5 linked regions of the Macaca mulatta genome follow. The protein of the gene in region 1 interacts with the protein of each later gene in a biochemical or structural test. Links are inferred from orthologs where the notes say so. Each region holds a gene or a part of one and is shown in the gene's direction. Other genes may lie near its edges.

Region 1 (4,313 bases):
TCCCTGCTGTTGTCGGGGCTCAGGCTGGAAGGCCCTTGGGGGAGCGCGGCTGGGGGGTAAGGGGTTAAGCGGTGGCGTCCACATCTGGGAGCCATTGGCGCATTCCTGCCGGCTGAGCGCATGTTTGCGGATGAATCTGGACAGGACAGGGCGGGAGGGGCTGGGCGGGAGGTTCGCACCGGCAGACGGAAATCCAGACGGGAGCGGGAGACAGCTCCGGCCCAGCGGGCGGGAAGGGGCCTGGGGAAGCGCGGCCCAGCACTGCTGGGGCAGTTTCCCGTGCGCCGGCCCTCAGGGCAGAGCGTCCCGCCATCCTGGCTTGTCCTACCTTACCACGGCTCTTGGGCTAAAGCCAGGGACAATCAGATACTTCAGTTCTAGACCCGGCTCTGCAACTGGTGCGACCGTAGACAAAACCCAGTGCCTGCTCTTGGCCTCTCTTTCCTCTGTAAAGCGGCGGCCGCCGTCGGACCAGTGGGTCTGAGAGCTCTGCCACCGAGTCAGGCTGAGAGTCTCCTCACTGGGCTGGAGGCCTGGGAGTGCAGCACTTCCGCTTCCAGTGGGAAGTTCTGTGGGGGCACTCGTGGCCACTTCTCTGCCTGGGAACAGGGCGAGAGGGGAGTATTCCCTAAGCGATTCTGCTTCCCCCTAAGCTCGCCAGTGGACTGCTAGCGATGGGGACAGGATCCTCCCAAACAGAGCAGCAGGCTGGGAGCGGGGTCATGACTGTGTTGGGGACTGGGGTCTCTCAGATGGAGGGTGATTCAGATCCTGTCCAGTTGGAATATGAACAAGAGCTTTCCTGGCTTCTCCAGACTTGTTCGGGAGAGAGAAGCTTGAGTCTGAGTCTTTGAGCACGGAGGGGTGCTCCTGGGCGCCCCTACTGGAAGATCCAAAAGTCTTGCCCTTTGAGAAGAGTACTTTAAGGGGGTTGGGGGGTTGCGGGGTTGGGTTGAGCCAGAGTTCCTAGGACCCACTGGAGCTGGAAAGGTGTTTGGGGAAAGAAGAGATGTACTTGCGGGAGATCTACTCCTGGACTCTTTTTTTTTTACTTCTTGCAGCTGAGATACTTAAGATCCAGGGAAGGGAAGTGACTTGGTCAAGGTCACACAGCTCTCAGTTCCAGCTGGTCCCTGGAAGAGGATTATAATTATAGGATTCAAGGGCTTGACAGCTAGGGCAGGAGTCACCGCACTCACTTCCATGTTACGCCGCCGCCTCACTTCTCGGGTTTAGGTGTGGGTGTGTGTGTGGTTGGGGGGAAAGGAGTGTAGGATACCACACGCTGCGGTCTTCTCCACCGAGCGCTATTTTCATTCTTTCCGCAGAACCTCACCCCCCCTGTCGCTCTGAATCTTCGGTTCTGGGTCTGAGGGAGGGATTCTCCCGGATTCCCACGGTCTAGTCTTCAGCTAGGAGCGGCTCCTTTAAGACTCGCCCTTCTCGGGGTCTATTAAGGAGAGGCGGGGGCGGGCGTGAGTCTGTAGATCCGCCCCTGACTGATGATTGGTCGGTGGGCGAGCAGGGGCGGGCCTGAGGGAGAAGGCCTCCCCCCACCTCTGCTCCGTACCCTCCGCCCCTTCAGTCTGGGGCTCCGGGTAAAGTTTCAGCCTCCGCACGTGACTCGCTATGGCCGCTGCCGTCGCCCCGCGCCCCTGAGCCGCGGCCCCCCGGACGGCTCCTCTCCCGGGACCCCGCACCCTGATGCCGAGCAGCACCAGGGCGCCGGGTTAGGGCAGACGCTGTGCTCGCGGGCACCCCGAACGGGTTGCGTCCCCGGCTGCGAGGTAACTCCTCCCCCGGGGATTTTGGGGAGCCCCTGGTTCCCACAGGCGTCGGGGCCCCATGTCCTGCCCCAGATTGGCGCTGCGGGAGGGGACTGGGTGCCGGGAGGCTTCCGACGGAACCCGGGGTTTCCTGGGCTTCCCAACTCGCTGCCGCCGTGTCCAGGGTGGGGGAGCCCCGTCTGTGCGTCTGCCTGCGCCGTGTCTTCGCGCGCAGCCTTGAGGTGTCTGTGGCCGTCTGCTGCGCGTGTCCCCCGCGCTCAAGCTGTTGCAGAACCACCGCTGGGAACTCCTGTTCTCTCTTTTTCTCTTTAAAAACAAGCAAAACAAAAAGGCTTTCAAACCTGTTTGGGGAGAGATCGGATGCTCAACGGACTAGCCCCCTCTCTTTTTCCCTCCTGTTATCTGAGCTGCCCTGTGGTTTGGGGAGAATCAGCCAGGGGGCCCACTCCCACCAGAGGGAGCCGGCCGGGGGCGGGGCCCGCTCAGCTGGTGTCCCCCGTGGAGTGAGGGGAACTCACTCAGAATTGGGTGCAGGAGCCAGTGCAGTATGTATGTAGGGGTGTTCCTGGGTCTTGTACCACCATGGGGTGTGGGAGCTTTTTGGGGTGAGGGAAAGACGGAATAGACTGGTGGACTTTGCTCTGCTGAGGGTGTCTGGGACCTGGTGCCACCCACGAGGCTTGGAAGCTGCTGGCCAGATGTGTGTGTGAGCCTGTTGTGGGGTTGGGGGGGCGGCTGGGATATGAGCTTGGCTATGTCCCCTCATCTTCTCTCTGGGCACTGCCCTATTGTCAGGCTGCTCCTTGCGAAGGACAGGCCTCCAATGTGTTAGGGTGGGGATGGGGACCAACTAATCCGGAAACCAGACAGAAGAGCTCCCCAGCCTTGGAGATGCTTCCGCACCCTCCATCCTGTCTTGGATCGGATGCCCAGTGTGATGGCCTGGAAGGGTACCTCCTGCCCCCTCTGGCTCTGTCTTCTGTAACCAGGTTGCCTTCTGTCTGATGGCTGTGTGCACATATGTGTATGTATATATTCTTGGAAAGGATTGTTTCTGAGAACACCGCCCAACTCCCCACGCCCTGCTGCTTACCCCAAGGATCACTTCTGCCCTTGACACTCCCTCTCCTCACTTTCCTGGCCAGGACATTCTGGGATGTCTCTTATACCCTTCCCTGTCTGCAGTCTTCATAGGGCAAGATTGTTTTGGGGAAGTGGTTCTGTAAGGACCTTCCAGGTCTTGCTAGGAAATTGGACCTCAGGCCCCAAACTCTCCTACAGGGCTCGATGAGGAGGCTGTGCCGGGGAAGCCCCAGGTTGGAGTGGGGGTGGCTTGGAGCCTTGGGGCTTCCCCTGGAGTGGGCCGAGGGGGGGGGCGGGTGGAGATGAGGCTAGGGGGGAGGAACAAGAGAAAAAATATTTGGAGTTGGTTGTATGATGCTTCTTCCTGGAGGAAGAAGAGGGGGTGGTTGTGGAGTCTGGGAGTTTGTGGCTGTGAAAGATGGTATGCTAGGAGGAGCTGGGACATCAGTACTGCCTGGGAGTCTGGACCATGTGGTTTCCTGAAAGAGAGGTCAGGAGGGTCAGACTGGAGTAGCCTCTTGGGAGCTGAGGATCTTGGATTTGCAAGGATTTTGAGGGTATGAGTGAGTGTACATGAGGTGTCACTGCAGGGGTTTCACCATCAGACTGACAACGGTGGCACAGATGCAGTGGCAGTTCTGAGAAGATCCTGGGCTTGGAATGGCTTAATCCTGGCCACCTCCTCCTTCCTATAGCCCCTAAATCTCTAGCCCTTCAGTCTGACCCTAAATGCCCCAGCTGCCACCCTGGGACTCCTTTTTAGTCCCCTTCCTACTCCCAACCTTGAGGCAGCCTGGCAGGAAGCCAGCTGTGGGCAGCCCCATCCTGATCGCCCATGTGCCTCCCCCGCTGGGCATAGTCACCCACATGTGCCATGACGTGGTTCCTGCCACCCCATCTAAGTATGGGGGAGAGGACATTGTCGGAGTGGCCCCTCAGTTCTGTTTTGGGGACATTCACCCAGACCCCAGCTAATGAGCACCCCTTCCCCTAAACCATTTAGTCTTGGAAGCTGACTCTTGCCCTCTGGGACCTTTCCTCCCAGGCCACTCCTTGCTCAGACTCCAGTCTCAGGTGGGATGGTCCTCAGAACTGTGTGATGTGAGGGTGGGGCCTGTCCCAAAATACAAACCCCAATGCCCAGTTTCCAGTCCTCTTGGAAGCATGAGCCGGATAGGACTTAGGCTGGGCTGGAGGGGTGGGTGTGTTTTGGCCTCTGTGGGGTCTATTAATATTTGGGAGCACTGCCTGCGATCTGGGGTGATAGGCATCTGGGGATGGTAATCCTGTCCCTACGACAAATAAGCGGGGTAATCTCCGCTTGCTCAGTAGCCACCCCCATCTTGTGTTGGTAGTTTTGGGAGTGTGGGAAGCTGGCAGGGCCCCTGGCAAGATGACCAGGATTGTCTTGACTTACTGGGTTTTGGGAAAGGAGTATGGCAA
Region 2 (3,513 bases), on another chromosome or scaffold:
ATTAGGGATATTCTAGAAACCTAAAGGTGGACTTTCACCTTGCCTGGTTCTCTAGATGCTATGTATCACATCTCTTTTTAAAAATGAACATAATTCACCAATCCTAAGACAGATCAGATCTCGAAGCAGATTGGGAGTTCAGTAAGAATGTGTTGTATTGATCTAAATTAAATAAACAATTGAATATTTAGGATGACCTTTGCCTCGTCATTCCTTTAAGTGATGAGCTACAGTATGTGGTTTCAAATTTGTGGCTTGAATTATTTTAGTATCTCATCTATATATTTTTTGAGAGTGAGAGAATGTGTGTGTTTGAATGTCAAAATCTTTCCTTCCTACTGGGAATTTGGTCATTGAATAACTTCATGTATCCCAAGATTCAGTTATCTGTTGACTGTGTTGCACTGTACTAATTATGATTAGCACAGTACTCAGACCCAAGGAGCTTAATAAAATTATTTGTGTATGTCATTTTTGTTCTTGAAGTTAAAAATTTTCATATTTAAGAAATGATTATTTTCAACCTGAGAAAGCTGATTGCCAAAAAAGGATTATTAAGAGATGATTATTACTAATATCTGTCATCTACTTTCTCTGTGAAGATAGGAAATAAATGGTAGAGAGGTAAATAAATGGTAAAATACAGTGTTAGAGCTCCTTTGCAAAGAAACTATGGTAATTCTTTTTTAAATCAACTTCCAAATCTGCTTTGTAAATTCAGAAATGTGTAAATTCAGTCTTTTTAAAGCAATGAATAATACTTTGCAAATTATATTATACACAGTAAAAAGTAGAATAGCAATAACAGGAGTAATATGAACTCAAAGGTGCTCCTTACTTCATTCTTATTCTTAAATAAAGTATATTTTATGGCTGTTTACAAACCAGTTTTCAAATGGCTGATATGATTTTGACTTTCTTGACTCAACCCAAGAACAGAAAGGTTGGTAGTGGTATGGAGAGAAATACAGTAGATTTGCATATCCCATTAAATGGTTGTTAAATGTCTTAACTAGCTGAGAATTAATTGTTTATTAGCAGTTGTTATTTTTGTTTTTTGTTTGTTTGTTTTGAGATGGAGTATCATTCTGTCACCCAGGCTGGAGTGCAGTGGCGCAATCTCGGCTCACTGCAACATCTGCCTACCAGGTTCAAGCAATTTTCCTGCCCCAGCTTCCTGAGTAGCTGGGACTACAGGCGCATGCCACCATACCCAGCTAATTTTTGTATTTTTCCAGAGACGGGGTTTCACCACATTGGTCAGGCTGGTCTCAAACTCCTGACCTCAGGCAATCCACCCGCCTCGGCCTCCTGAATTGCTGGGATTACAGGTGTGAGCCACGGTACCCGGCCATGTTAAGTTTTTGAAGAGAATTAGAAAACTGTTTCCTCAACTCCAAGATGTTATCGTTGTAAAATGTGTCCTTACGTTTTATACCACTAAGAAAGAAAAATAAGCCTCCAGTTAAGCAACATGCCATCAATTGTAAGATATATACCAATGGGGAAAAAAAAAGTGCTGTTTAGCTGGGATATCTCCCTACTCCCTGAAAAGCAAGTCAGGGTTTTATTAGGAAAGGAAAACGGGAGAATGGATATTTGGTGGCAGTCGTCATCACCATTTCATCTCTATATCATTATTAACCTCTTAAAATATCCATCTTAAGTACATTATGGCAAAGCTTTTTAAAATGGTGGCACTGGAATCTCAAGAAGGTCTCTTCTCATCCTACTCCTTACACAAATTGAAATTAATTGTTGCTGCCTCCTTTCTATATCTTTTTCTTTGGCTATCATTTCATATCCTTTTAATCAATACATTCAACAATTTGATACAATCAGATAATTCTTTCCTAAAGTTTGATTTAGAGTTAAGCATTGTACTCAAAAAGCTACAGGGTAATCTTTCAATTAAAATTTATCTTTTCAGTTCCATAGGGACCAAGGTATTTGTGGATAGCTTCAGGTCTAATAACTTGAACAAAATGTTCTGGCATCTTGAAAAACAAAATTCTTGGAATTTATTCTAGCTTCTCTTCCAAAGGTGTACTGGCCCCATTCCTTAGGTCAATATTGACATTTATCTATCAAGTTTGCAGAAATGCAATGAGTTCTTGCTTCTTCTGTTGTGTATGTGTTAGTGATAGGAAATCGTTTGGTATCTTCTTAGATAATAAATACCATTGGAATGTTTTTCAAGCTGTGACTAAAATGTCTTTGGCATTTTCCATTGTACTTCTTGTATATGTTTATGCCTTCCCTGTCCTCTGTATCTCTAAGGAATGGACCTGACATTAAGATTTCTCCATAGAGCACATGAGGAAGGATTTACTAACAAACTACATTAAACCCTTGATAGCCCCAAACAAGCATCTAAAGAATCACTCTCCTCCATATGACTGTATTTTAATGTTTATGAATATGACTAAGATGGTCACACTTTGAACAGACTCACAAAATAATCTTCAACTTGTTAGTGGTTTCATTTTTTTGAAAACAGAAATTCTAAAAATTACTTATGGAATGTCTGGTGTTTGGGGGATGATGTCAGAAATGAATCTGTTCTGTTGGCCTCAGCCCCACATCAGACTCATCAGAGTCTGCATCTCTTTTCCTTTTTCTGCACATCTACTTTTGTTTCTTCCTAAGTGCTCAGTAATGTAAGGAAGCAGGTTCTAGTTCCCCTATAGAGCTATAAAGCTATACAGGAGACTTAATATTCACATTACTTTGCAGAAAGGTGCTTATGAAAATTCAGAGACTTGGCGGGCTTTGGAAGATGGTTATATAACATTAAAGTATGTTCTCTTCTCTAATGATTTGATCATTTTAACAGTATGGATTAACCCACAGGATTTCCAGTAGACATTTTCAATGGAATAGGAATGGCAATAAAACAAATTACTAACGTGACTGTAGTCCATATATATGTCTATTATTTATATGTAATATACATATACACTTAGAAATGCTATGTTATTTTGCTTGTAGGTATAACATGATTCTAGTTCTGCCTCCTGAACTATTCTTATTTTTATTTTTTTTAGAACACTGATACTTGCATTTAATGGGGAACAAACGATGAAGAAGGAAAAGGAATATATTCACTAAGGATTCTATCTGCGTACTGCTACAGACCTGTGTTTTAAGGAATTCTCCTTCTTCTTGCATAGAAGTTGATCAGCTCTGTGGTCAGACTCATTTATCTTGTCATTGCCAGAAGAAATCCTGGACAGAATGTAACAGTACGTCTCTCTCTGATTGCTATGGAAGGTGATAAACTGATACTCACTTATTAAAGTTACGTCTCACTCACCACAGAAAACCATTCTTTAAAGTGAATAGAAACCAAGCCCTTGTGAACACTTCTATTGAACATGACTCATGGAGAAGAGCTTGGCTCTGATGTGCACCAGGATTCTATTGTTTTAACTTACCTAGAAGGATTACTAATGCATCAGGCAGCAGGGGGATCAGGTACTGCCGTCGACAAAAAGTCTGCTGGGAATAATG
Region 3 (4,003 bases), on another chromosome or scaffold:
AAAAAACACAAAAACCACACACACACAATTTAGCTGTACATTTTAAAATAACTAGAGTGTAATTGGGTTGTTTGTAACACAAAGGATAAATGCTTGAGGTGCTAGATACCCCATTTACCATGATGTGATTATTACATGATGTATGCCTGTATCAAAATCTCATGTACCCCATAAATATATTCACCTACTACGTACTTACAAAAATTTAAAAAATACATCAGTGTAGTGTGGGAAAAAAGAAAACAAAAACAAAAATTTTTTTTTTTTTTTTTGAGACGCGGTCTCGCTCTGTCGCCCAGGCTGGAGTGCAGTGGCTGGATCTCAGCTCACTGCAAGCTCCGCCTCCCGGGTTTACGCCATTCTCCTGCCACAGCCTCCCGAGTAGCTGGGACTACAGGCGCCCGCCACCACGCCCGGCTAGTTTTTTGTATTTTTTAGTAGAGACGGGGTTTCACCGTGTTAGCCAGGATGGTCCCGATCTCCTGACCTCGTGATCCGCCCGTCTCGGCCTCCCAAAGTGCTGGGATTACAGGCTTGAGCCACCGCGCCCGGCCCAAAAAATTTTAAAAAAAGAGTGAAAGCCAGATATGAATCCAGGCCTGTATGAAGACGTCAAGGCCAGTGCTGAGGAGGCCTTTCTACATTTGGGAAGTGGGGAGGGGCCACACTCGTTCGATCAATAATTCTATTTCCTGAGCATTTTAGCTTGCTAGGGAGGTAATGATGGGAAAAAGAAGAGAGGGATTTAGAGGCAAATAATAGTGAAAGCTTTTATCTATATTCCATGAAGCTTATTATTAGACACTATGTGTCAGGCACGGTGACAAGTGCCTTCCATGCCTACCTCCATTTCCTCCTCACAAGAACTATGATTTTCCCCATATTTCAGATGGGTAAACTGAGGTTTGGAGTTGCCATTTCCAAGGATACTCAGTGCGCTCGCAAAAGGCTGTTCGGTGTGTGTTTCCCCAGCGGGACTCACTGGCGAGAGAATAGCACTGGGAAGCCGACAGAGACCCACGAGATCCCAGCACTAAGCACACAGCACCCAAGCGAGCTGGCGCGCACTCCACCTCGCGCTCCCGGGGACGTCTGGTCACGTGGGCAATGCCCCGCCCCTCGAGTCCGCCCCGCCCCCTCTGGCGCTCCCTCCCTCTTTCCCTCCCTCCCCCTCCCTCCCCGGCCCGGTCCGGCCCATCCCCCTCCCCGCCGGCTCCGTGAGGCCCTGCCGGGTCGGGCTGCGGGCGGCCGGGCGCGGGTGGCCGGACAGACGGGCGCACGCGAGGACTGACGGACGGACGCACGGAGGGCGGCGGGCACGCACGGCCGGGGCTGGCGCTCCAAGGCCCGCCCGGGAGGGCTGGGGCCGCGCTCAGGTGAGACGACGGCGGCGCGGGCCCGTAAGGGGTGGGCCCGCCGGGTGTCCGCGGTCCTTGTCGGGCTGGCTTCGCGGGGAGGAGGCGCCGCCCGGGCCCGGCGCGGGAAAATGGCGCCGGGCGACCGAGTGGCACGGTCTGAGTGCGGGCCCGGCCCGGAGCCGCCCCGCCCGCCGCGCTTGTGTCCCCGTCGCCATGTTGGGGAGCGGGCCCCAGGCCTGCGGGCGGGGGCGCTGGAGGGAGCGGCGGCCCGGCGGGGTGGGGAGGGTGCTGGGCGCTGGGGCCGGCGCACTGAGGGAGTGCAGGGCTGGCCGGGGTCTGCACGGGGTGGCGCTCCAGGCCCGGGGAACAGGCGGGAGCCAGTAGTGGGGTCGTGGTCAGGGTCGTGGAGAAGGAACACTGGATCCGAAAGGAACCAGGATTGGGGTCCATGGGCTGAGAGGATGGCAGGACGTGGAACTGGGTTAGGCCTTAGGCGGGCTTAGGGCACTAGTGCAGGTAGAACCTGGTGATTGGGGTGGAGGCATGGGGGCCAAGCTTAGGCTGTCAGGGCTGGAGCAGTTCTTTGCGGGGAGGGAAGGAGGTGATGGATGAGGAATGAGGGCCCTTTGGGTACAGACGCTGGTATCAGATTGGGGCAGTCCTTGGGGTACTGGGGCTGATTTGCAAAGCTGTATAACTCCCAAGGCTCTGAAGACTTACGTTCCAAGCATCCTCCACCCCCTATTGGGGGAAGCAACAGGAAAAAGGAGGTGTTTGATGAGAGAAAAGGGGGACAGAAGGGGACTGAGGTTTGGGTGCAGGAGCTGACCGGCAAAAGAGGCACAGAGAGTGGAACTGGTTGGCAAGAAAGGAAAGAACCTTTATCAACTTAGGGAATTGTGTGTGTCTTTAAAAGGAGGGACCCGGCTGTTTGGGGGCGGTGACCCAAGGTGTCTTCCCTGGAAGGGGACAGCCCACAGCTTAAGAGCAGGGTCACCTGGAGAGGTCATCCGAAAGGCGTTATTGAAGCCAGTAAAATGGTGAAGAAGAGTGAATGTATAAAAACTACAAAGGCCTGAGAGATCAAGTAAAGATTTCAAATCAGGTAGTGATTTTAGCTGAAACAGAAAGGTAAAGTTGACTTTTCAAGATCTTACAAGTTAGTAGCAGAGGGTCTACTGGAAATGGTCAGCTGCCTGCTCACTAAACACATTGCCTTAAAGGAGTTTGCTAGCTGGGAGAAAGGTGTTAAGAAATGAACCATAACATTCTTGTGATGAAACTAAAAGCAAACAAACAAAAACAATAAGAAGTGAAGCGTAACAGTATATACCAGATAACTATTAAATTTGTTTTGTTCCTTTAATGACTTTGGCAATACAAAGGCTGAAGGGAATACAAAAGAGGGTAGGCAGCCAGTTTTTTGGTATTTCCTGGCTCATCTCTAATTGTGCAAAGAAGTTGTCTTTGAGACCTTCTAACTTTGTAGAGTTTTAAGAGATGCTCCGGCAAGCCATAGTGGCTCATGCCTGTAATTCCAGCACTTTGGGAGGCCAAGGCGGGAGGATTGCTTGAGCCCAGGAGCTGGGAGACCCCATCTCTACAAAAAAATAAAAAAAATTAGCCACCTGATGTGGCTTGTACTTTTAGTCCCAGCCACTCAGGAGGCTGAGGTGGAAGGATCGCTTGAGCCTGGGAGGCCAAGGCTGCAATGAGCCGTGCTGTGATCGTTCCATGATATTCCAGCCTGGATTACAGAGTAAGACACTGTCTAAAAAAAAAAAAAAGAAAAAAGAAATACTTCTTCTCTTCTAGGTGTTTACCACAAAGGGACACAAAATCCTAAAAAAGAAAAGTGAAAAATTGTAAAGACCCAGAGTGTCTATTTTGTTAATTGAAGTTGGATCATGTTAGAGAAGAATTCAAAGTTCGCATGGGCTATGGGAGAGTTCTGAAGGAAATATGCAAACTAGTCATGGAAAATAGGTCCAGGGCCCCATATAATCAAAGAGAATTAATGAACAGAAAGGTTATGAGGGCAAATATAAAATAAGATTGTCAATACCATATGTATATACTGCAACACAATTCATTTGTTCTGGGTTTTTCTTTTCTTTTTTTTTTTTAATTTTTGGAGATGGGATTTCAACATGTTGCCCAGGCTGGTCTTGAGCTCCTGAGCTCAAGTGATCTGCCCACCTCGGCCTCCCAAAATGCTGGGATTACAGGCATGAGCCACCTGGGTTTTTCTAATGAAGGAAGACCTCACCTTATCTGTGCCATGGACCCCTTTCAGAATAATATTTTTTAGTTGTATAAAATAAAGTACATTGAATTATAAGGAACACCAATTATATGGAAATATAGTTTCCAACATATACAAATCTAATATTCATATACTTGTTTTATTTTTTTTATTTTTTTTATTTTTATTTTTATTTTTTTTTTTTTGAGACAGAGTCTCGCTTAGTCGCCCAGGCTGGAGTGCAATGGCGCAATCTCGGCTCACTGCAAGCTCCGCCTCCCGGGTTCACGCCATTCTCCTGCCTCAGCCTCCCGAGTAGCTGGGACTACAGGCGCCCGCCGCCTCGCCCGGCTAATTTTTTGCATTTTTAGTAGAGACGAGGTTTCACCGTGTTAGCCAG
Region 4 (4,313 bases), on another chromosome or scaffold:
GGCAAGATCTGGGCTTGGTCTTCCTGGTGGGATGACCTTGGGCAAGTCACTTTAACTTTTTTAGTCTCACAAAGTAAGAATCTAGCCTTAGAAGGAGGCTGCCAATATTAGAGTGGGAAGTGCCTGACACATAACAGGTGCTCAGAGAATGGCAACCATATATATATATATACACACACACACACACACACACACACACACATTTTTTTTTGAGACAGGGTCTTGCTCTGTTGCCCAGGCTGGAGTACAGTGGCATGATCTCAGCTCACTGCAACCTCTGCCTCCCAGTTTCAAGTGATTCTTTTGCCTCAGCCTCTAGGGTAGCTGGGACTACAGGCACATGCCACCATGCCCGGCTAATTTTTGTATTTTTAGTAGAGACAGGATTTTGCCATGTTGGCCAGGCTGGTCTTGAACTCCTGACCTCAAATGATCCCCCTTCCTCGGCCTCCCAAAGTGCTGGGATTACAGGCATGAGCCACCATGCCCAGCTGGCAACTATCTTTTATTATAACTCTGTGAGTTCTTCTCAGCAGAACTGGACTTTCAGGAGTGGTAGGAATCAGGCAGGGAAAGGCCGGGCGCGGTGGCTCAAGCCTGTAATCCCAGCACTTTGGGAGGCCGAGACGGGCGGATCACGAGGTCAGGAGATCGAGACCATCCTGGCTAACACGGTGAAACCCCGTCTCTACTAAAAAAAAGTACAAAAACTAGCCGGGCGAGGTGGCGGGCGCCTGTAGTCCCAGCTACTCGGGAGGCTGAGGCAGGAGAATGGCGTAAACCCGGGAGGTGGAGCTTGCAGTGAGCTGAGATCCGGCCACTGCACTCCAGCCTGGGCGACAGAGCAGACTCCGTCTCAAAAAAAAAAAAAAAAAAAAAAAGGAATCAGGCAGGGGATAGGGATTCTGAAGGACCTTATTCCTGCAGGGGGCCCAGAACTGAAACCAGAGGAAGGGGGCCTCCGAGACTGGACAGCGGGCAAAGTCCTCCCAGCCCCCCCAGGGTCCTGGCTCCCTTCCCTGTAGCCTGCTCCTGGCCGACAACAGAAGCAGGGCCCCAAGGTTAGGCAAACAAGCTAGTGATAAGGCACTTCCAGGTCGGGCCTTGCATTCAAGGCCCACCCAGCTCTGGGGCTGACTTCCTGGCTTAGCGAAAGCGCTAGTCTTTTGTGCACACAAGAGCAGGCACCAATGGGGACACCTGCTGATTGTGCACCTGGGGCCTTGGTGCCCTGGTACAACCTGGGTTAATGACCTTGTTTATCCACTTGAGTCATCCGATAAGGGGCAGCTGAGTGAGCGGCAGGTGGCCCTGTGCCCTGCACCGGCCACTTCATTGACTGAAGTGATATCAGTGCCACGTGGGGTTCCCAATGCCCCCTCCCCCACCACTTCCCCACCATTCCTGCCAGGGGCAGTGTCTGTGTGTTTTTTTCAATGAACATGACTTCTGGAGTCAAGGTTGTCGGGCCATTCCCCCCCTTCCACTCACTGGGAATATAAATAGCACCCACGGCGCAGAACAGAGGGCCAGAGAGCTGGAAGTAAGGGCAGATCCCAACCATGAGCACCAGCCAACCAGGGGCCTGCCCATGCCAGGGAGCTGCAAGCCGCCCAGCCATTCTCTACGCACTTCTGAGCTCCAGCCTCAGGGCTGTCCCCCGACCCCGTAGCCGCTGCCTATGTAGGCAGCACCGGCCCGTCCAGCTATGTGCACCTCATCGCACCTGCCGGGAGGCCTTGGATGTTCTGGCCAAGACAGTGGCCTTCCTCAGGAACCTGCCATCCTTCTGGCAGCTGCCTCCCCAGGACCAGCGGCGGCTGCTGCAGGGTTGCTGGGGCCCCCTCTTCCTGCTTGGGTTGGCCCAAGATGCTGTGACCTTTGAAGTGGCTGAGGCCCCGGTGCCCAGCATACTCAAGAAGATTCTACTGGAGGAGCCCAGCAGCAGTGGAGGCAGTGGCCAGCCGCCAGACAGACCCCAGCCCTCCCTGGCTGCAGTGCAGTGGCTTCAGTGCTGTCTGGAGTCCTTCTGGGGCCTGGAGCTGAGCCCCAAGGAATATGCCTGCCTGAAAGGGACCATCCTCTTCAACCCTGGTGAGCTCCCAGACACTCCTGGGTAGGGGGCAAGGCTGAAGCAGGAGCCAGCCAGGGAAGGTAACTTCTAAGGGTTTGATATCTGTAATCTCATGGGGTCCACATTTTCTTTTTTTTTTTTTTTCTGAGACAGAGTCTCACTCTGTCACCTACTCTGGAGCGCAATGGCGCGATCTTGGCTCACTGCAACCTCTGCCTCCTGGGTTCAAGCAATTTTCCCTGCCTCAGCCTCCCAAGTAGCTGGGATTACAGGTGCCCGCCACCACTCCCGGCTAATTTTTGTATTTTTTAGTAGAGACGGGGTTTCGCCATGTTGGTCAAGCTGGTCTTGAACTCCTGATCCCTCTGGTGATCCACCCACCTTGGCCTCCCAAAGTGCTGGATTACAGGCGTGAGCCACTGTGCTTGGCCGGTTCCTCATTTTCATCAAATAGCCATCTCACAGAAGAGGTACAGAGAAGCTAAGTGACGAGCTAAAGGTAACACAGCCAGGTAGGGACAGACCAGGATGGCAACTCAGGTCTATTCACTCCAGAGACTGGCCCTTGCCACTCTGCCTGAGAAATTTGCTCTGACCTTTAGAGAAGGCTGCGGGGGAGGTGGGGTGGGCAGACACAGCTGTGTCTCAGTCACATCTTCAAAGGAAGGCTGCATGGTGAAGCTCTAGAGCTGAAACTCCTCTGTGGGTTCAGAAAGATCACTTAGAAGAGAGAACTGAAAGGGGTGTAGGGAGGACAGGAAGGGAGTCTTTGTGGAATTTGGCCAGGAGAGTGGCAGATGAGACAGTGCTCTTTGTAATCTGGAGAGCATCTGAGATGAGCGTTCCCCAGGAGTCCCTGTGGCACGCATAAATCGTAGTAGTTAATTGCAATAATAGTAGCAAATACTCATATCACACTTACCATATGTTAGGCCCTATTCTAAGGGTTTTACATATACTAGTTCATTTAAATCTCATAAAAACCTAGGAGACAGGTCCTATTAATATTATTATCCTCGTTTTACAAATAAAGAAACTGAAGCCCAGAGATTAAGTTACTTGCCCAAGGTCACCCAGCTAAGTGACAGTACTGGGATTCATACTCAGGAAACCTGATTCTTAACCATTACTCCATACTGCCTCTTCATAAATGGATGGATGAATACAATGGAAATTGATAAATAAATTACCTCCTCCAAAGGAGGAGGTAGTAGTGGGACCTCAAAGGCCGAGCAAAGGAGGCAGAGGGGTGTCTCTGATGGCCCAGATCTTGGGCCAGTCTCTTCCTTTGGTGGCTGGGAGTAGGATGCTCACCAACCCTCTTCTCCCTCTCTGCCCACAGATGTGCCAGGCCTCCAAGCCGCCTCCCACATTGGGCACCTGCAGCAGGAGGCTCACTGGGCGCTGTGTGAAGTCCTGGAGCCCTGGTGCCCAGCAGCCCAAGGCCGCCTGGCCCGTGTCCTCCTCACAGCCTCCACCCTCAAGTCCATTCCGACCAGCCTGCTTGGGGACCTCTTTTTTCGCCCTATCATTGGAGATGTTGACATCGCTGGCCTTCTTGGGGACATGCTCTTGCTGAGGTGACCAGCTGCAGCCCAGGCAGAGATCAGGTGGGCAGAGGCTGGCAGTGCTGATTCAGCCTGGCCATCCCCAGAGGTGACCCAATGCTCCCGGAGGGGGCAAGGCTGTATAGACAGCACTTGGCTCCTTAGGAACAGCCCTTCACTCAGCCACACCCCACATTGGACTTCCTTGGTTTGGACACAGTGCTCCAGCTGCCTGGAAGGCTCTTGGTGGTCCCCACAGCCTCTGGGCCAAGACTCCTGTCCCTTGTTGGGATGGGAATGAAAGCTTAAGCTGCTCATTGGACCAGAAGTCCTACTGACTTTATACAGAACTGAATTAAGTTATTGATTTTTGTAATAAAAGGTATGAAACACTTGGAGCCTGATACTGTTGTTTGTGCATATAGAAGGGACTGTCTCACCTCCAGGGCCCACCCTGCTCCTATCAGAGGTAGCCCAAGGGAAAAAATCCACAGGGTTGCTGGAACTAATTTTCCAGGGAACAGTATCAGTTCACAATCCCATCACCTCATTGCCTTTATCCTCAGGGGAAGGAGGTTGCTCTCCTGTTCCCAAACCCTTCACTAACCACTCTCCTGGCTCCTACCCACTTCATGCGCCCTCTCACCACAGTTAAAGCCCAATCACAGCCAATCAGGAAGCAGTCCATTCCC
Region 5 (3,513 bases), on another chromosome or scaffold:
GAACAAAAAGATTTATCCTGGAAGCAAAGGTGATAAGGAGACCCCTGCAGACTAGTTTAGATACAAACATATGTATATTGATACATAGCAGGAAACTGGAATTATACACACTCATTTTACCAAAAAGAAGCATCTTTAGAATACAAAACATGTGTATAAGTAACTCTTATTGCCACACCTGACTCCACCACTACACATTCATCTGTACTCAGAACCCATCACAAGATATAAATCCAAACAAGTGGTCATATGTGTTATGTACTTATATCACAATAGGTAAATACACCCACATATAGACATCAGTATGTTTAAGAATTATATTCAAAACTGTACACACATAAATGGATATAGTTTCAGATAAATCTACTTTAGCCAAAACAAAAACAGGATCTCCTAGTCTAATAGTTTGTGAAACCAGTATAAGGAAGTTAAACAATATATTTTACTGTAGAATTTCTCAGAGCTGTCACTTACAGCACTGTAAATTTATAAACAGTGAGATTTACATTGTAAATCTCTAAAGAAGGAGACAAGTTTCCTAAACTTGTTACCCATGGCTTCTGAGAAACGTATAAGAACACTAGGGAAAAATATTGGTCTAGGTGAATATTTTGTTACTGTCTTGAGTGACTTTGGATAAGTTTTACAACCTCTCTAAACCTTAGATCCCTTATGTGTAAAAGAGAATGTTATTGTTTCTTTTAAACATATGCATACACCTACCTGTAGTAGTGAATTACACACAGTAAACATTTAATGAATAACTATATATTTTTAGAATGCATATGAGTAATCATAAACATTTGAGTTTCTACTGTTGAAATCAAGCTTGAATCAGACCTTTCAAAGGCACCATTAAACTCTTAAAACTAGTTTTAAGCTGGTCAATGTATTCTGTATCAAAAAGTTAACATAGTATGCATTGTAAAGGTATAGGAAACTTGAGAGATCACAACTTGTTAATAGTAAATATTCAGAAATACTTTTTGGGATTGTTTTTAGAGCCAATGTCAGGTTTGCTTGTTTTGATATATGACAGCAGTTCTCAGAGTATAGTCTGGTACTCTATCAGGGGACCACAAAGGTCACCCTTTTCCAACTACACGTCTGGATGAATGTTGTGCCAGACCCCTATTCACTTCAGTAGGGATAGGACCATGTTTGAGAGGCCCAAGAAGAGAGGCCCAAGAAGAGACCTGGAGCTAGTGAATGAGACACAGGGCTTATTGAGGGAACTTACATACAGGACAGTCCAGTGGCAGTGGGCTGGACAAGAGAACCACCAGCAAGTAGTTAATATAGCACTTAGCACCCTCCCGCTAGCAACCTCCATGTGGCAACCTTCATTTAACACAAAGCACAAGTCCTCCATCCCCGATATGGCCTGGATTCCACAGGCTGGCCTGGGAGTTCAGATATTCTTCACTGATAAAGAATGGATCTCTGGGTTGGCCACTCCTGGGTTCCTTAGCGCGGAACTCCAAACACACATTCTCCTTAGGCTATACAGGGTCACTCTCAGGGTAGACTTAAGTTATTGCTGTCAGGTGCTGTCTGCCATACAGTAAGACTGAAATTTTTTTCATATATTTTAACTTAACAATATATTATGATAGATAGTGCAGAAACAGATAATGAGATTTCAGCTATTAAGCCAGACATTCAAAGAGATTTTTTAAAACATCAAACAGTATTTTAAAATATCAAAAATGTTTACCAAATTTTTTACAACGTAGTTTTATAAAAACATGTTGTTATGGTTTTATTATTCTTAAATGAATTAGTTTTAAAAATTATTTTTAATTTCTAATATTATAAATTTTGATGACTAGAACTTAGATGAACAAAAGCTGTTTGGGGGTCCTCTGTCTTTCAGAGTGTAAAAGGGCTCATGAGACCAGGAATTCCTTGGCAATTTTGAAGTTCTGCAAAAATAGTCTTAGAAAATGTGATACTTCACCAACTATCTGAAAAACTTTTTCCCTTAACCTTTTCTTTTTAATTAGGTTCTTTAGTAATTGAGGATAAAGAGAGCCAGCCACAAATGCCTAAGCAGAATCCTGTCGTGGAACAGAATTCACAGCCACCAAGTGGTTTATCATCAAACCAGTTATCCAAGTTCCCAACACAGATCAGCCTAGCTCAATTACGGCTCCAGCATATGCAGCAACAGGTAATGGCTCAGAGGCAACAGGTGCAACGGAGGCCAGCACCTGTGGGTTTACCAAACCCTAGAATGCAGGGGCCCATCCAGCAACCTTCCATCTCTCATCAGGTAAATTTGGAAGCAGGCCTGTCCTCACTTAGATAATTATAGTATAATTGTGTTGAGCAGCTCAAAATGACAAAGACATCCATTTTCCATAATCTAAATATCTGCATTTATAAAAATTTATCACATTAAGGATCCCTGATTTAATGCCTAGTTTTTAATCCCTACTTAAAAAGGATTTAATGGTTTGTTTAGCTGATAAATCTATTTTCATCTACTCTTCATTGTCTTTAAATTATAGCAGAGGATAAATGTTTGTATTCCTAAATAACCCAGGCCTGTAATTGATGGGAAAAGTTGTGTACCTGTTAATTCCTATACTGGTGCTTCAGAATGATGAATACATTAAGAATCTGTCCTCTGTGAGGATGTGGTGTTTAGTAAACCACATTGCATCTTAGAAACTAGGGCAGAGTGAAATACAAAAGGGCAGAAGTGTGGTTCATTATAATATACCTTTTTCAAACTCTATTTCTGAGCAAATATACTGTTTACCATTCTTATTTTTACTGTAATCCAATTTTTTTTTTTTTTTTTTGAGATGTAGTCTCACTCTGTAACTCAGGCTGGAGTGCAGTGGCACGATCTCAGCTCACTGCAACGTCTGCCTCCCAGGTTGAAGCGATTCTCATGCCTCAGCCTCCCGAGTAGCTGGGATTACAAGTGTGCGCCACCACGCCCGGCTAATTTTTGTATTTTTAGTAGAGACAGGGTTTCACCATGTTGGCCAGGTTGGTCCCAAACTCCTGACCTCAGGTGATCCCGCCTCAGCCTCCCAAAGTGCTGGGATTACAGGTGTGAGCCACTGTGCCCAGCCTCAGTCCAACTTTTGAAGATAAAATATATATACTTTTGTTAAATAGTTTAACTCTGCTTTTCAGGTTAGATGTGGGCAGACTTATTTTAATAAAAGTTTAGTAAGGAATATAAAGTCTAATTTATATAAACTGTTGTTTTCAGTTACATTTACTTACACTTTTTTTTATATATATAGACAGAGTTTTACTCTTGTTGCTTAGGTTGGAGTGCAATGGTGCCATCTCGGCTCAGCACAACCTCTGCCTCTCCTGGGTTGAAGCAATTTTCCTGCCTCAGCCTCCCGAGTAGCTGAGATTACAGGCATGTGCCACCATGCCGGCTAATTTTGTATTTTTAGTAGAGACGGGGTTTCTTCATGTTGGTCAGGTTGGTCTCGAACTCCGACCTCAGGTGATCCTCGCACCTCGGCCTCCCAAAGTGCT

Evidence for each region.
Region 2: the proteins of RARA (region 1) and NRIP1 form a complex in vitro, tested with the Homo sapiens proteins (4 studies listed by BioGRID). The link is inferred for Macaca mulatta from reciprocal best matches to the Homo sapiens genes RARA and NRIP1.
Region 3: the proteins of RARA (region 1) and NCOA6 form a complex in vitro, tested with the Homo sapiens proteins (3 studies listed by BioGRID). The link is inferred for Macaca mulatta from reciprocal best matches to the Homo sapiens genes RARA and NCOA6.
Region 4: the proteins of RARA (region 1) and NR0B2 form a complex in vitro, tested with the Homo sapiens proteins (2 studies listed by BioGRID). The link is inferred for Macaca mulatta from reciprocal best matches to the Homo sapiens genes RARA and NR0B2.
Region 5: the proteins of RARA (region 1) and TRIM24 form a complex in vitro, tested with the Homo sapiens proteins (3 studies listed by BioGRID). The link is inferred for Macaca mulatta from reciprocal best matches to the Homo sapiens genes RARA and TRIM24.

What each region holds. Positions count from the first base shown.
Region 1 is NC_133421.1:64,701,021-64,705,333, forward strand, and holds the start of RARA (retinoic acid receptor alpha), read left to right. Parts: upstream 1-1,504; 5' UTR 1,505-1,787; exon of another isoform or gene 1,788-2,093; intron 2,094-4,313. UniProt on the Homo sapiens protein: Receptor for retinoic acid. Retinoic acid receptors bind as heterodimers to their target response elements in response to their ligands, all-trans or 9-cis retinoic acid, and regulate gene expression in various biological processes.
Region 2 is NC_133408.1:32,761,703-32,765,215, forward strand, and holds part of NRIP1 (nuclear receptor-interacting protein 1), read left to right. Parts: intron 1-3,047; 5' UTR 3,048-3,377; coding exon 3,378-3,513. UniProt on the Homo sapiens protein: Modulates transcriptional activation by steroid receptors such as NR3C1, NR3C2 and ESR1. Also modulates transcriptional repression by nuclear hormone receptors.
Region 3 is NC_133415.1:87,616,646-87,620,648, reverse strand, and holds the start of NCOA6 (nuclear receptor coactivator 6), read left to right. Parts: upstream 1-1,196; 5' UTR 1,197-1,376; intron 1,377-4,003. UniProt on the Homo sapiens protein: Nuclear receptor coactivator that directly binds nuclear receptors and stimulates the transcriptional activities in a hormone-dependent fashion. Coactivates expression in an agonist- and AF2-dependent manner.
Region 4 is NC_133406.1:214,067,667-214,071,979, forward strand, and holds NR0B2 (nuclear receptor subfamily 0 group B member 2), read left to right. Parts: upstream 1-1,501; 5' UTR 1,502-1,562; coding exon 1,563-2,094; intron 2,095-3,416; coding exon 3,417-3,658; 3' UTR 3,659-4,014; downstream 4,015-4,313. UniProt on the Homo sapiens protein: Transcriptional regulator that acts as a negative regulator of receptor-dependent signaling pathways. Specifically inhibits transactivation of the nuclear receptor with which it interacts.
Region 5 is NC_133408.1:178,386,165-178,389,677, forward strand, and holds part of TRIM24 (transcription intermediary factor 1-alpha), read left to right. Parts: intron 1-2,006; coding exon 2,007-2,275; intron 2,276-3,513. UniProt on the Homo sapiens protein: Transcriptional coactivator that interacts with numerous nuclear receptors and coactivators and modulates the transcription of target genes.